3 linked regions of the Elephas maximus indicus genome follow. The protein of the gene in region 1 interacts with the protein of each later gene in a biochemical or structural test. Links are inferred from orthologs where the notes say so. Each region holds a gene or a part of one and is shown on either strand. Other genes may lie near its edges. The genes, in order: MBP, TLK1 and CDK9.

Region 1 (3,743 bases):
CAGCCTGGGGTTCTCCCAGGCATGTTGTATGTTCCATCAAACACAGCTCCCAGGCCAAGGGGCTCAGGCATGACTGAACCTCCCTCAAGTGGCTATACTGGACATGTCTTATGCTTCATGGCTACTTATTAAAAATTATAGTAAGAGTAATTAAAATATACTCTTTTATTCTTTATTGACAACTGAGGCTACGAGGGGAGGACACCTAACCAAGCCATACAGCAGATCCTCACGATCTAATCATTCTGACAAAGAAACATGGTCTGCGGGAGCAATCCTTCATTAGCAGTAGTCTTTAAAACCAGAAAAAACGGAGGGTGCTCTGCAGGCCTTAGTCCGCAGAGCAGTGCAGGGCAGCAGTGAAAACCTGCAAGGAATTTGGCTCTGCCACTTGCTAATTGCGTGCCTTGGGCTGACTCCTGTGACTGATCCGGGCAATAGGATAGTATCAAGGAGCTCTGATGGCACAATGGTTAAGTGCTCGGCTGCTAACCAAAACGCTGGCACTTTGAACCCACCAGCTGCTCTGCAGGAGAAAGACCTGGCAATCTGCTCCATAAAGATTACAGCCAAGAAAACCCTACGGGGAAGTTCTACTCTGTCACATGGGGTCGCCACGAGTCAAGGGCCAAGTCGATAGCAGCTAACATCAACAACAGAGAAGGCATGGAGGCAGCTGCTTATCTTAAATGTGTTAAATTTTTAAAGAATTTAGAGAAAAACTGAAAAAATCAAATTAACCTTCAATTAACATTTAAAAGTTCAAACAGAAGTACGAAAGTAACGAGAATGGTTGATTTCAACAATTTTCGGTTTTCAGTAGATGCTTTTGATTAACACACATCCTCACACTCACCACCCACCAAGAAGCAAGAACTGAAGTTCAAAGTCACCATGGAGCGATTAAATACCAAATCACTGAGTAACTGGTCTTGTCACTGGGCAGAAGTACGGTGCTTCAGAAAGATTTTCAAGGTGGATTTGAACCAAAGAGCTTTTGTCTTCTTAAGAAGAAGAATCATTTCAGAAGAGCTAATTCTTGAGAATGACTGTAAACCAATGTTTTGCAGTAGCTTTAACTCGATTCTCCTGCCTTTTAACTTGATTTGTGTTCATCCCACTCGGAAGCAAACCTGCTGAAGTATACTTTCCCCTGGCTCCCAGGGACACACACAACTATGGTATAGGTACCCTGACAAGTCAGGTCCTGTTTTTCCAGACCTGCTCTCTCCAGGGTGTCCCATGACCCCAAATGTCCCTCGGTGATGGCCTGGAGGGGGGAGCCCCAGTTCAGGGAAGGCCCCTGACTTGTAGGAGGTCATCTGTAAAATGCTATAAAACAAGGGTCTCAAACCAGACTTCCCCCACAAAACCAAACCCACTGCTGTCGAGTCGATTCTAACTCATAGCAACCCTATAGGACAGGGTAGTATTGCCCCACAGTTTCCAAAGACAGCCTGGAGGATTTGAACTGCTAACCTCTTGGTTAGGAGTGGTAGCACCTACCCACTATGCCACCAGACTTTCCCATCACCTGGAAAATCCTGTCTCTAGCCAGGCCCCCGGTGGTGCAATAGTTAAGTGCTTGGCTGCTAATCCAAAGGTTGGTCGTTCGAATCCATGAGAGAAAGACCTGGTGATCCACTTTCGTAAAGATTACAGCCTTGGAAACCCTCTGGGGCAGTTCTACTCTATAGGATTGCTGTGAGTCAAAATCCACTCGATGACCACACGTGTAGCCAGGTCTCCTGGTGGCTCACTGGTTAAGCACTGGGCTGCTAACTGAAAGGTCGGCGGTTTGAACCCCGCCAGCAGCAACTCGATAGCAATGGTTTTTTGGTATGAGTCAGAATCGACTGGACAGCACCCAACAATAGCAGCCAGGCCCCACTGAGGGATGCTGGCAGCCTGCCAGCACACTTGCTTCTGCACGTGCTTTACCAGCTCCCAGAAGCAGCACATGTTGTTGATTCTCACACTGTCACAACTGGGAAACAGAGAACTGGGAAGGGGCCTCATTCCTGCCAGGGTCTTACTGAGCTCCATCCCCACCCCACCTTCCGAAATGGAGGCTGAAGTGGACCCTAAGAAACCAGGTGCTGCCACCAAGAGAACCCCTGAGGGCCAAGAGCCACCTCAGGTCAGCAGAGTGACCACCATACAAACAGGTTAGCCGAGGGGTGGCCGAAACCGAAAGCATCAGGGTCAGGACGGGCAGCCCTGCACAGGAGGGCGCCCTCCGTCGAAGGTGCCCCGAGCCTGCCTCAGGAAGAACAGAGCAACTCCTGCAGGTGGGCTGCCGGTGGGACTGGTAGACAGATCGTGCGCATGGGATTGCAGGTGGGCTGCAAGTGGGCTGCAGGGTGCTTGGGCCAGCCCCAGGAGCCCTGGGTGACTGACCAGAGGAAGGCGGAAGCGGGGTACTGGGACGTGTGTCGCCGCCCTCCTTCCTCAAAGGGAAACTACACTTCCTCCTGTGTGTGTGTGTGTGTGTGTGTGCGCGCGCGCGCGCAGGGAGGGGGCAGGGGGTGTCCGCTCGGCTCCAGGTGTGTAATTTGAAGGCACTAAATGTCGTACGGATCCCCCGTCTGCCCTCCCCCTGGCCGAGAGCGGCCCCTGTGACCTTTGTCCCTCTCACCCCTGAACTCTGCCCAGCCGCAGCGCCCTCTCCCCTCTCAGGCCTCTGCGGGCCCGCGACCCCATGGCAGCCCGGGGGTTCGCCTCTGGCCAGGCCAGGGGGTTGGGGGCTTGAGCTCGGCACCGCAGGGCCGCCCCCTCGCCCGGCCCTGCACAGGTGAGCGCCGCGCGCCCGGACCCCGCCGGGACCCCGCGGCCCCCACCCGCTCCGAGGGAAAAAAGGGACAAAGGGGTCCGGCCGCCTCTGTCCTCACGGTCACCCACCGGGCTGTGCTCGCTGGTCCGGGCTGCGCTCCTGCCCCTCCGGTCCCGCACCAGGTCTGGGCGCCGCGCGGGCAGCGGGTCCCAGGGCGGCCGCCGCTCTCCGGGGTCGGGCCACGGGCCGCCGGGACCGCAGGCTTGTCCTCGCTGCGGGAGGCTCGCAGACTGACAGGCCCTACTCTGAGGCCGCGCCGCTCTCCGCCCCCGCTTCCCTGCTTCCTGCTGCCAGGTAAACACCGCCTGCCGCCGGGCGCCCCACCTAGACACCTCCCCGCGCCCCAGTGCGCCCCTGTGCGAGCCCGAGGACCCGTGGCGGCGCTGCGCCGCGCTCGCCCGCTCGGAGCGCCAGTGACACGAGAACCCACGGGGGACCCGCCCCAGGAGGGTGGGACTCTAGGCTTTGGCCACAGCAGATCAGGACCTAACTGCAACCACTTGAACCTTTCCTTCTGGCTGAGCCTGGAAACCAGTCCCACGCCGCCCCCCTCGGCTGGAGGGACCTGAGATGGCATCTCCTCCATGCTGCACTGCACTGCACGCACAGGCGACGGAGGCAGAGACGCTCGCCGTGGTTCAGGGACTCCCCACTCAAACCGAACCTCCCCCAGGACCCTGAGGACCCACCAACAGTGTTAATGTGCTGATGATAATTCTAAGACAAGGAGATAAAACACAAAAACGAAACCCAGTGCCGTCGAGCCAATTCCGACTCACAGTGACCCTATAGGATAGAGTAGAACTGCCCCGTAGAGTTTCCAAGGAGCGCCGGGTGGATTGAAACTGCCGACCCTTTGGTTAGCAGCCGTAGCACTTAACCACTACACCACCAGGGTTTCCGGACAAGC
Region 2 (3,743 bases), on another chromosome or scaffold:
AAACTGACTTGATAGCAACTGGTTTCAGAGAGGTTGGAGTCTACCCAGAGGTGCCTCAGAAGAAAGGCCTGGCAATCTATTTCTGAAAAATCAGCCACTGAAAACCCTATGGAGCACAGGTTCTATTCAGACACACGTGGGGTTGCCCTGAGTTCGAACTGATTTTGATAGCAACTGGTTAACTCAGTTTTTAATCTACATGCTGGTTGGTCAGAGAGAGACCACACGCAGGGACTTGATATGAAATATAACTTTCACAAAACACATCCTACTTTCGTATTAATTAACAGATTCCCTATTTTAGGTTACACAAAAATCTACGGTAATCTAAACTGCTGGAAAATTCTGGTTATTTCAAAGTCCAGGTTAATTATTCTAACCCTTCAAAACTTTCAAATATCAGGAAAAGTGCAGAATAGTACAGATAAAGAAATTTTTAACTAGAGTTGAAGTAACTTCAGAAACTCAATCTAGATTTCGTGGCCCCCAAATTACTAACACTGATAACCAATGTCAACAGATGAACAACAGACAATAACAGACATAATCATATACCCTCAGTATCTAGTACAGGGACTGGCTTACAATAATGGCTCAACAATTGAGGAATGAATGATAAAACACCTTTAAAAAATAAAATAAAATGGTCTTTCTCAACTCACAACACTACCAGTAAGCACCTTAATGAAATTACGAAGTAAAAGCATGCTAAAAGCACCCAACTGTTCCGTTTACAAAATACCTTTTAAAATATTCATTTAAAATTTTTCAAGTGCACAAAGATCACCAGATACTAAATTTGAGTGAGTCAATAAATAAACTTTTATTAATAACCAGAACTCAGTGTTGAGAGCAAAATGAAAGGGAAAAATGTCTGTCAATATATTCAGCATGTTTAATGGATGCCATAAATCAAACCTTCCCACGAATTTTCTAGAGCAAATTCATGCCAATCTTTGAGCCTATTGTCACTTTCACACATGCTCACAGGAACAAAATGACAAAGAATGCTACGCCTGAACCGCTGGATTCAGGGCACAAAACACTAGATTAACAACTGTCAAGGCTATGAGTAATAAATATTGAGTGATATTTTCAAAATAAATTAAACCCATCGATTTCTACATAAATTGATGCTCCTGCTTTCTTTAAAAGATCCATTAGACTGACTTCCACACGTTTTTTTTTTTTTTCTTCTTGTGAAAATGTGGCTACAATCTTGCATGAGACAACTGGGACTGAACAACCCGTTTACCAACTGCTGATGAATACCGCTAAACATTTTCCAGACAAAGAGCGTTAAACGCGATTCCATGCACATTTACTCTTCCCCCATAAATGAGCGTTCTCCTGAATTTCATTTTGTGTCGTATACTTAAAGTTAAACACAGCAAGTTGAAATTTTAGCCAAAAGCACTCCGGTGTCTTACTAGCTGTGTAACTGCTACATCTGGTGGCAGCACACTTTCATGCAAGAAGCCAGAAAACTTAGAAAACAATCGTAACCGATCTGGTGCGTGTTTGCAGTAACCTTTACGCAGATATTTCCCACAAAACCCACGACCCTGTCAGAGAAGAACAGTAGTCTACTTGCAGAAGAGAGAGAACGCACAAACACGCAGAAGGTGATGGCGAAGGAGAGAAAGTTGCAACCATCTGGAGGGGTGATTTAAGAACCTGCCCACGAGTCACACTGTCGTTTAAATTGCTCTAGGGCAGGGGATCAAAGTCTGCCTAGACAATAATTTCAGCGTCTCTCCCTAAAGAGAAGAGACCCTGCAAACGAAGTGCATCCAGGTCCCGGGCAGCAAAGCTTGCGGAGCCACGGGACCGCCTCTGTGGGAGGAGTGCGAGGGCGAATGGGAGGGGGCTCGCGAGGATGAATGCTCCAACGGGAGGGAAAACCCACCAGAGACAGAGGAGGCCAGGAGGTTAAACGTATGGAGTGTACTAGGAAAGGGGGCAGAAAGGGACTCGCGTCCGGAGGGAGGCTTCCCACCCTCGCACGACGGGCTCTTAGGAAGCCAGACGAGTCTGTGCGCCTCGCCCCGTCCCCACCAGCCCGCACCCCCTCGCTCGTCTCCTCCGCCACCCGTGAACCACCACCCACAGCCAGCGCACTACCTCCCCGGAGCCCGGCGGCCTCGCGGCCACCTCGCCACCATCCCCCACCCCAGGGTCGAGGAGAGGAGACCCGAGGGCGCGGGGGCCGTGGCGCGGGAAGGGGGCCCGCGAGCGGGCGCGGCGGTGCTTACCTTCCCTGGGCCTCCCGGATGGCGGCGTGTGATTCAGCAGGGACCTGGCCGCCGCCGCCGAGCCCGGGGTTGGAGACGTGGAGAGCTGGGACCAAGATGGCGGCCCCTCCAAACTTCCACTGCTACTTTGGACACTCATCAAGCTACTTTCTGGGAACCCGACTCTGCCCCCGAGACAGCAGCAGTGGCAACGGCACCGGCACCCGCCTCCGTCATGGCGGGGGCCGCGCTGAGGGCGAGGGAGAGAGTGAGGGCAGGGAGGGGAGAGTCAAGGGGATGGGGGAAGGAAACCGAGCAGGGGGGAGGTGGAAAGGGAAGAGGTGAGGGGAGGAGAGGGGACTGGGAGGAGGAAAAGGGGGAGAAGAGAAGGAGCGGGCGGGCGCGCCGGAGAAGAGGCGGAGGGAAGGAGCGCCGCGGTAAGGGCGTCGAGGGGGCGCCCGCCGGGCTGGGGTCGAAGCGCGGGCGGAGCGCGGGCAGCGCCGGCCGAGGAGACTTCCGCGGGCGGAACCTGCCGGCACCTCTGCAGTGCGTCGGCCCCCGGCGTCGCCTGGGTGGCGGCGGCAGCGGACGGTGGGTGGCGGCTGAGGCGGCGGCGGCAGGGTAACCTCTGCATCAGTTACAGGAGGCGGCGGCGGCGGCGTCACGCGCCGCCTGTGCAAACACTATCGCGAGGCTCCTGCGCCTCCGGTAGCGGCGGCGGCCGCCGGAGCAGGCATGGGGGAGGGACCTGCCAGAGCCTGGGGGCGGGGGTGTGAGGAGGGAGCGAGCGCGCGAGGGAGGAGACGCGGCCGAGGGGGCGCCCCCGGCGCGCCCGCGGATCGCAGCGCGGGAGCCCCGGGCCGACGGACTCGCGTGCGCGGGCCGCCCTCCCCGCGCCGGCCGGAGGGAGGCGCGCCCCGCACGCGCCCCCTCCGCGCAGCTCCGGCTCCCGCGCCCCTGCCACCTGACTCCCCCTCTCCCGCGGAAGCGCGCCTGGCTCCCGACCCACACCCAGCCTGGGGAGGAATGCTTCTGCTCTTGCTCGACTGTCGCTTCTCCGTGGTTAGAAGTCATCGTTTTTCAAGATGGAACTGAAAAGTTGAAAGTTGCTTCTGTCTTGCTCTTCTGTACTGTGCAAAAAACCTGTGTGCGTCTCCCACTCTGCAGAATGGGAGTAATTACCGAATAAAAGAACTGAGGAAATAAGTTGGGGAGGGGGATGTTGCGATATAAACTTTCTGAATGTTTTCTTAAAAAAAAAAAAAATCTTTAGTAAAGGAATTGAAAATCACTACCGGTATTGTAGACCGTACATGTGGCATAGCAGTTCTTTTTGTTTTGAAACCGTAAGTGGAAAATCTAAATAGAAAATTTTTAACGCTGAATTCACATATTTAGGAAAATTACCCAGTGTTCATCGTGTAGAAAGGGCATGTTTCTAGAAAGTTCCAATTTGTTTCTATTTTTCCCCCAGCTCTGACTAGAAAATCTCAAAGCAAATTACAGCAT
Region 3 (3,743 bases), on another chromosome or scaffold:
AGAGAACCAGGGGTACAGGGCCCGAGGCCGGGGCGTTGCTAGCTCGCCGCCTCCAGTGTCGCCGCGCCCCCTGGCGGCCGTCGGTTGCCATGTCAACGACGGGTGGCGGGGGCCGGGGGGGCGGTGGCGGGGGCCGTTCACTCCTCCCAGGGCCGGAGGCCGCTCCCTTGGCGCCTCCCGCCTTCGCCTCTGGCGGGTAACTCCGAGCCGTGAAAGAAGGGGCTCCCCGTCACAGCCTGCCGGGGTGGTAAACTGAGGCACGCGGTGGGCCGCCTCGCAGCCAGGTGTCGGGCGCGGAGCCCCACCTCCGAAAGCGGGGGAGGGGCCGCAGGCGGTGACGCGCCGAGGGCGGCCGGCGGACAGCGGGCGGGCGGGCGGGCGGGCGGCGACAGCGGCGGCGGCGGCAGGTGCGGCCGCGGAGGGTGGGAGGGAGGGGGCGGGTAGAGGGAGAAGGGAGGGCGAGGCCAGGGCACCTCCCCCTTTATAACGCGCCCCCTTCGGGGCTCTCGGGCCGCCTCCTCGTCGGCTCTTTCTGCCTCGCCCCCTAACCCGGACGCCCCGAGCCGGGGCCCGGCCAGGGATCCCCCAGGCCGCGGCTCGGGGACCGCCCCTCCGCTCGCCGCCCCGCGCAGCCCGGCGGAGGCGGTGCCGTCGGAGGAGGAGGAGCAGGGCACTGCGGCTGGCCCCGGATCGGGCGCCAGAGCGGCAAGCAGCTTCGGCAGCAGCAGCGGCCCGGGCCAATGCAGCGGGACGCACCGCTCAGAGCCCCAGCTTCGGCGCCCCGGCTCCCCGCGCCCCCGATCGGGGCCGTTGCCGGCAGTGGCGGCGGCGGCGGCGGCGGCGGCGGGGGCAGCGGCGGCGGCGGCGGCGGCGGCGCCTCTGCAGCTCCAGCTCCCTCTAGCCTCCCGGGAACTACAAGTCCCAGGGGGCCCGGCGGCGGGCGGCGGGCGGAAGAGGCGGGGTCTGTGCCGCGAGGCCGGAAGTGGCCGTGGAGGCGGAAGTGGCGCGGCCGCGGAGGGGCCTGGAGCACAGCAGCAGGTCCAGGAGTGGGAGCGGCGGCGGTGGCTGGAGGTGGTGGCGGCGCGCTGGAGGCGGCCATGGCAAAGCAGTACGACTCAGTGGAGTGCCCCTTTTGTGATGAGGTGTCCAAATATGAGAAGCTCGCCAAAATCGGCCAAGGCACCTTTGGGTAAGACTGGGCCCCGAGGGACTGGGGCCCCGGGGCCAGCACTCCCCAGGGCCGACGTGGGAGCGTCGGGAGCTGGGCCTGAGTTGGCTGGGAAGCCGCTGAGTCCCGGGCATGCCCCCTGGTCTCGCAAGGCCGGGCCGCATCCCGCCGGGGCCTGACGGGGCCGGCTGGCGGGGAGGAGCCTGAGGCCTGGGGTGTGGGACGGCGAGGGGTTGCAGAGAGGAACTGGGGAGGAAAGCGGGACCTCCGGAAGGCGCTTGGGTAAAGAGGGGGGACTGAGGGAGGGAAGCGGAGGCCCGGCAAGGGGCCGGAGACCCAGGCCGGTGAGGTGGCCGAGTGCCGGGTGCCCGGCCGAGCCCCGCCCGGGAGTCTCCCTGTCCCTGCCACACTTCCTCTCGTGGGGGAGGGGCGAGCCCTGCGGAAACTGCCTCATCAGCCCTCAGTGTCCCCTCTCGGCCTGCAGGGAGGTGTTTAAGGCCAAGCATCGCAAGACCGGCCAGAAGGTGGCCCTGAAGAAGGTGCTGATGGAGAACGAGAAGGAGGGGGTAAGTGCGGCCCGCCAGCATCACAGAGCAGCGGGTTTGGGTTTCCAGCCTGCTTTTTCCAGGAGTCTCCTGCTGAGGTTGAATTTTTGTTAGTAGTTTCGGAAATTGGCACATTTCAGGGAATTTGGCCTCGAAATTAAGTCTTTTAATTAAAATATCTTAAACATTTGTTTAAGTAGGGCTGAGTCCAGGAGGGGGAGCTCATGCTTGCACTGCATGCACTTTGGTTCAGAGTTTAGAAGCTTTAAAAATTGTTTTCTTTAGTATATGATTTTGTTTAATGTAAAAAATGTATGCATATGGCTTTAAAAAGTGAGTAATATTCAAAGAAGTGTGTTGGAAAGGAGCATCCCACCCAATCTTAGCTCTCATCCCACTCCCCAGAAACCAAGTTCTCATCAAAGATGTTTTAAGGTTATTTTTGTGACCACAGAGCAAGTTAAACACAGGCATAGAGCTAACACATGAAAATAGCAGGAGACAATAGCGTATATAGTGATGAATAGTAAAGAATTTGTGTAAAATAAGGGTATTAAGTTCATTGTCTCAAACCAGCTCTTTGAGGTGTGCATGCTATTATCATACCCCTTTTACAGATAAGGGATCTGAGTGAGCTTATATCAGAGCCCATGTTCTTAACTCTGTCTTTCAATCTGTATGCCTTAGTAGAGACCCCAGGACCAGTTCCTTGGCCCGCAGCTCTCTGACTCACTTTTGACCTCTTATCGTCTTTTTTCCCCCCAGTTTCCCATCACAGCCCTACGGGAAATCAAGATTCTCCAACTTCTGAAACATGAGAATGTGGTCAACTTGATTGAGATCTGTCGAACCAAAGGTATGTTTGGATCTCATCCTTCGTTTTTAGATGGAGAAAGTGGGGCTTATAGCCTAAGGTTTTGTTTGTAAAGTTAGAACTGGAGGGCCTTAAAATGCTTCTTCTTAGGCAGTGGTGATTGCTTTCTTTGGTTCTCTCTCGTCGTAGCTGGTTCTTCCCCAGGGCCTACCACACCACCTGGCCCAGGGAAGCACTCAACATATATTTTGCCAGCGAAGGAATGAATAAATGGATGCTCTGGAGGACATGGGTGGTCCATGGATTAGAGGGAGTAGGAGCTGGTTATGGGGAAATGGGTTGCATATGGGATTTTTGACTCTTCTTCCTGTCCTTCACCCCAATTCTTTCCATCTCAGCATCTCCCTATAACCGTTGCAAGGGCAGTATATACCTTGTGTTTGACTTCTGCGAGCATGACCTTGCTGGGCTGCTGAGTAATGTCTTAGTCAAGTTCACACTGTCTGAGATCAAGAAGGTCATGCAGATGCTGCTCAATGGCCTGTACTACATCCACAGAAACAAGGTAGGGGCCGGCGGAGGAGAGAGAGACTAAGGCCTTTGCTCCCACTGTGGGATGGTTGTGGCCAGAGGATCCAGGGGAGCCTGGCTGAGCCTGCACTCCTGTCTTTCCTGCAGATCCTGCACAGGGACATGAAAGCAGCTAATGTGCTCATCACCCGTGATGGGGTCCTGAAGCTGGCAGATTTTGGGCTGGCCCGGGCCTTCAGCCTGGCCAAGAACAGCCAGCCCAACCGCTACACCAACCGTGTGGTGACGCTCTGGTACCGGCCCCCGGAGCTATTGCTCGGTGAGGACCCCCGAGCGGGCAGAGGGGGGCAGGGGCCAGGCACCTGCCCAACCCCAGCCCCTCACTGCCGTGGCTTCCTGAGCTGTCGGCCCTGGGGCATTGCATCTCAGGAGGCCCTTGGGCTCAAGGGGCCCTCCTGGTGCGCTCTTCTTCCCAGGGGAGCGGGACTACGGCCCCCCCATTGACCTGTGGGGCGCTGGGTGCATCATGGCAGAGATGTGGACCCGCAGCCCTATCATGCAGGGCAACACCGAGCAGCACCAGCTTGCCCTCATCAGCCAGCTCTGTGGCTCCATCACCCCTGAGGTGCGTGGCCAAGCCGCGTGGGCTCCCAGTCCCCATGGGTGCAGAGGCCCAGAAGCCTCT

The links.
Region 2: the proteins of MBP (region 1) and TLK1 form a complex in vitro, tested with the Homo sapiens proteins (2 studies listed by BioGRID, with this or other methods). The link is inferred for Elephas maximus indicus from reciprocal best matches to the Homo sapiens genes MBP and TLK1.
Region 3: of the proteins of MBP (region 1) and CDK9, one has a biochemical effect on the other in vitro, tested with the Homo sapiens proteins (2 studies listed by BioGRID). The link is inferred for Elephas maximus indicus from reciprocal best matches to the Homo sapiens genes MBP and CDK9.

The regions. Positions count from the first base shown.
Region 1 is NC_064829.1:84,281,233-84,284,975, forward strand, and holds the start of MBP (myelin basic protein), read right to left. Parts: upstream 2,990-3,743; 5' UTR 2,902-2,989; intron 2,292-2,901; exon of another isoform or gene 1,948-2,291; intron 1-1,947. UniProt on the Homo sapiens protein: The classic group of MBP isoforms (isoform 4-isoform 14) are with PLP the most abundant protein components of the myelin membrane in the CNS. They have a role in both its formation and stabilization.
Region 2 is NC_064824.1:69,385,204-69,388,946, forward strand, and holds the start of TLK1 (serine/threonine-protein kinase tousled-like 1), read right to left. Parts: upstream 2,795-3,743; 5' UTR 2,395-2,794; coding exon 2,256-2,394; intron 1-2,255. UniProt on the Homo sapiens protein: Rapidly and transiently inhibited by phosphorylation following the generation of DNA double-stranded breaks during S-phase. This is cell cycle checkpoint and ATM-pathway dependent and appears to regulate processes involved in chromatin assembly.
Region 3 is NC_064827.1:78,877,115-78,880,857, forward strand, and holds the start of CDK9 (cyclin-dependent kinase 9), read left to right. Parts: upstream 1-876; 5' UTR 877-1,097; coding exon 1,098-1,189; intron 1,190-1,652; coding exon 1,653-1,734; intron 1,735-2,478; coding exon 2,479-2,569; intron 2,570-2,925; coding exon 2,926-3,092; intron 3,093-3,205; coding exon 3,206-3,377; intron 3,378-3,534; coding exon 3,535-3,683; intron 3,684-3,743. UniProt on the Homo sapiens protein: Protein kinase involved in the regulation of transcription.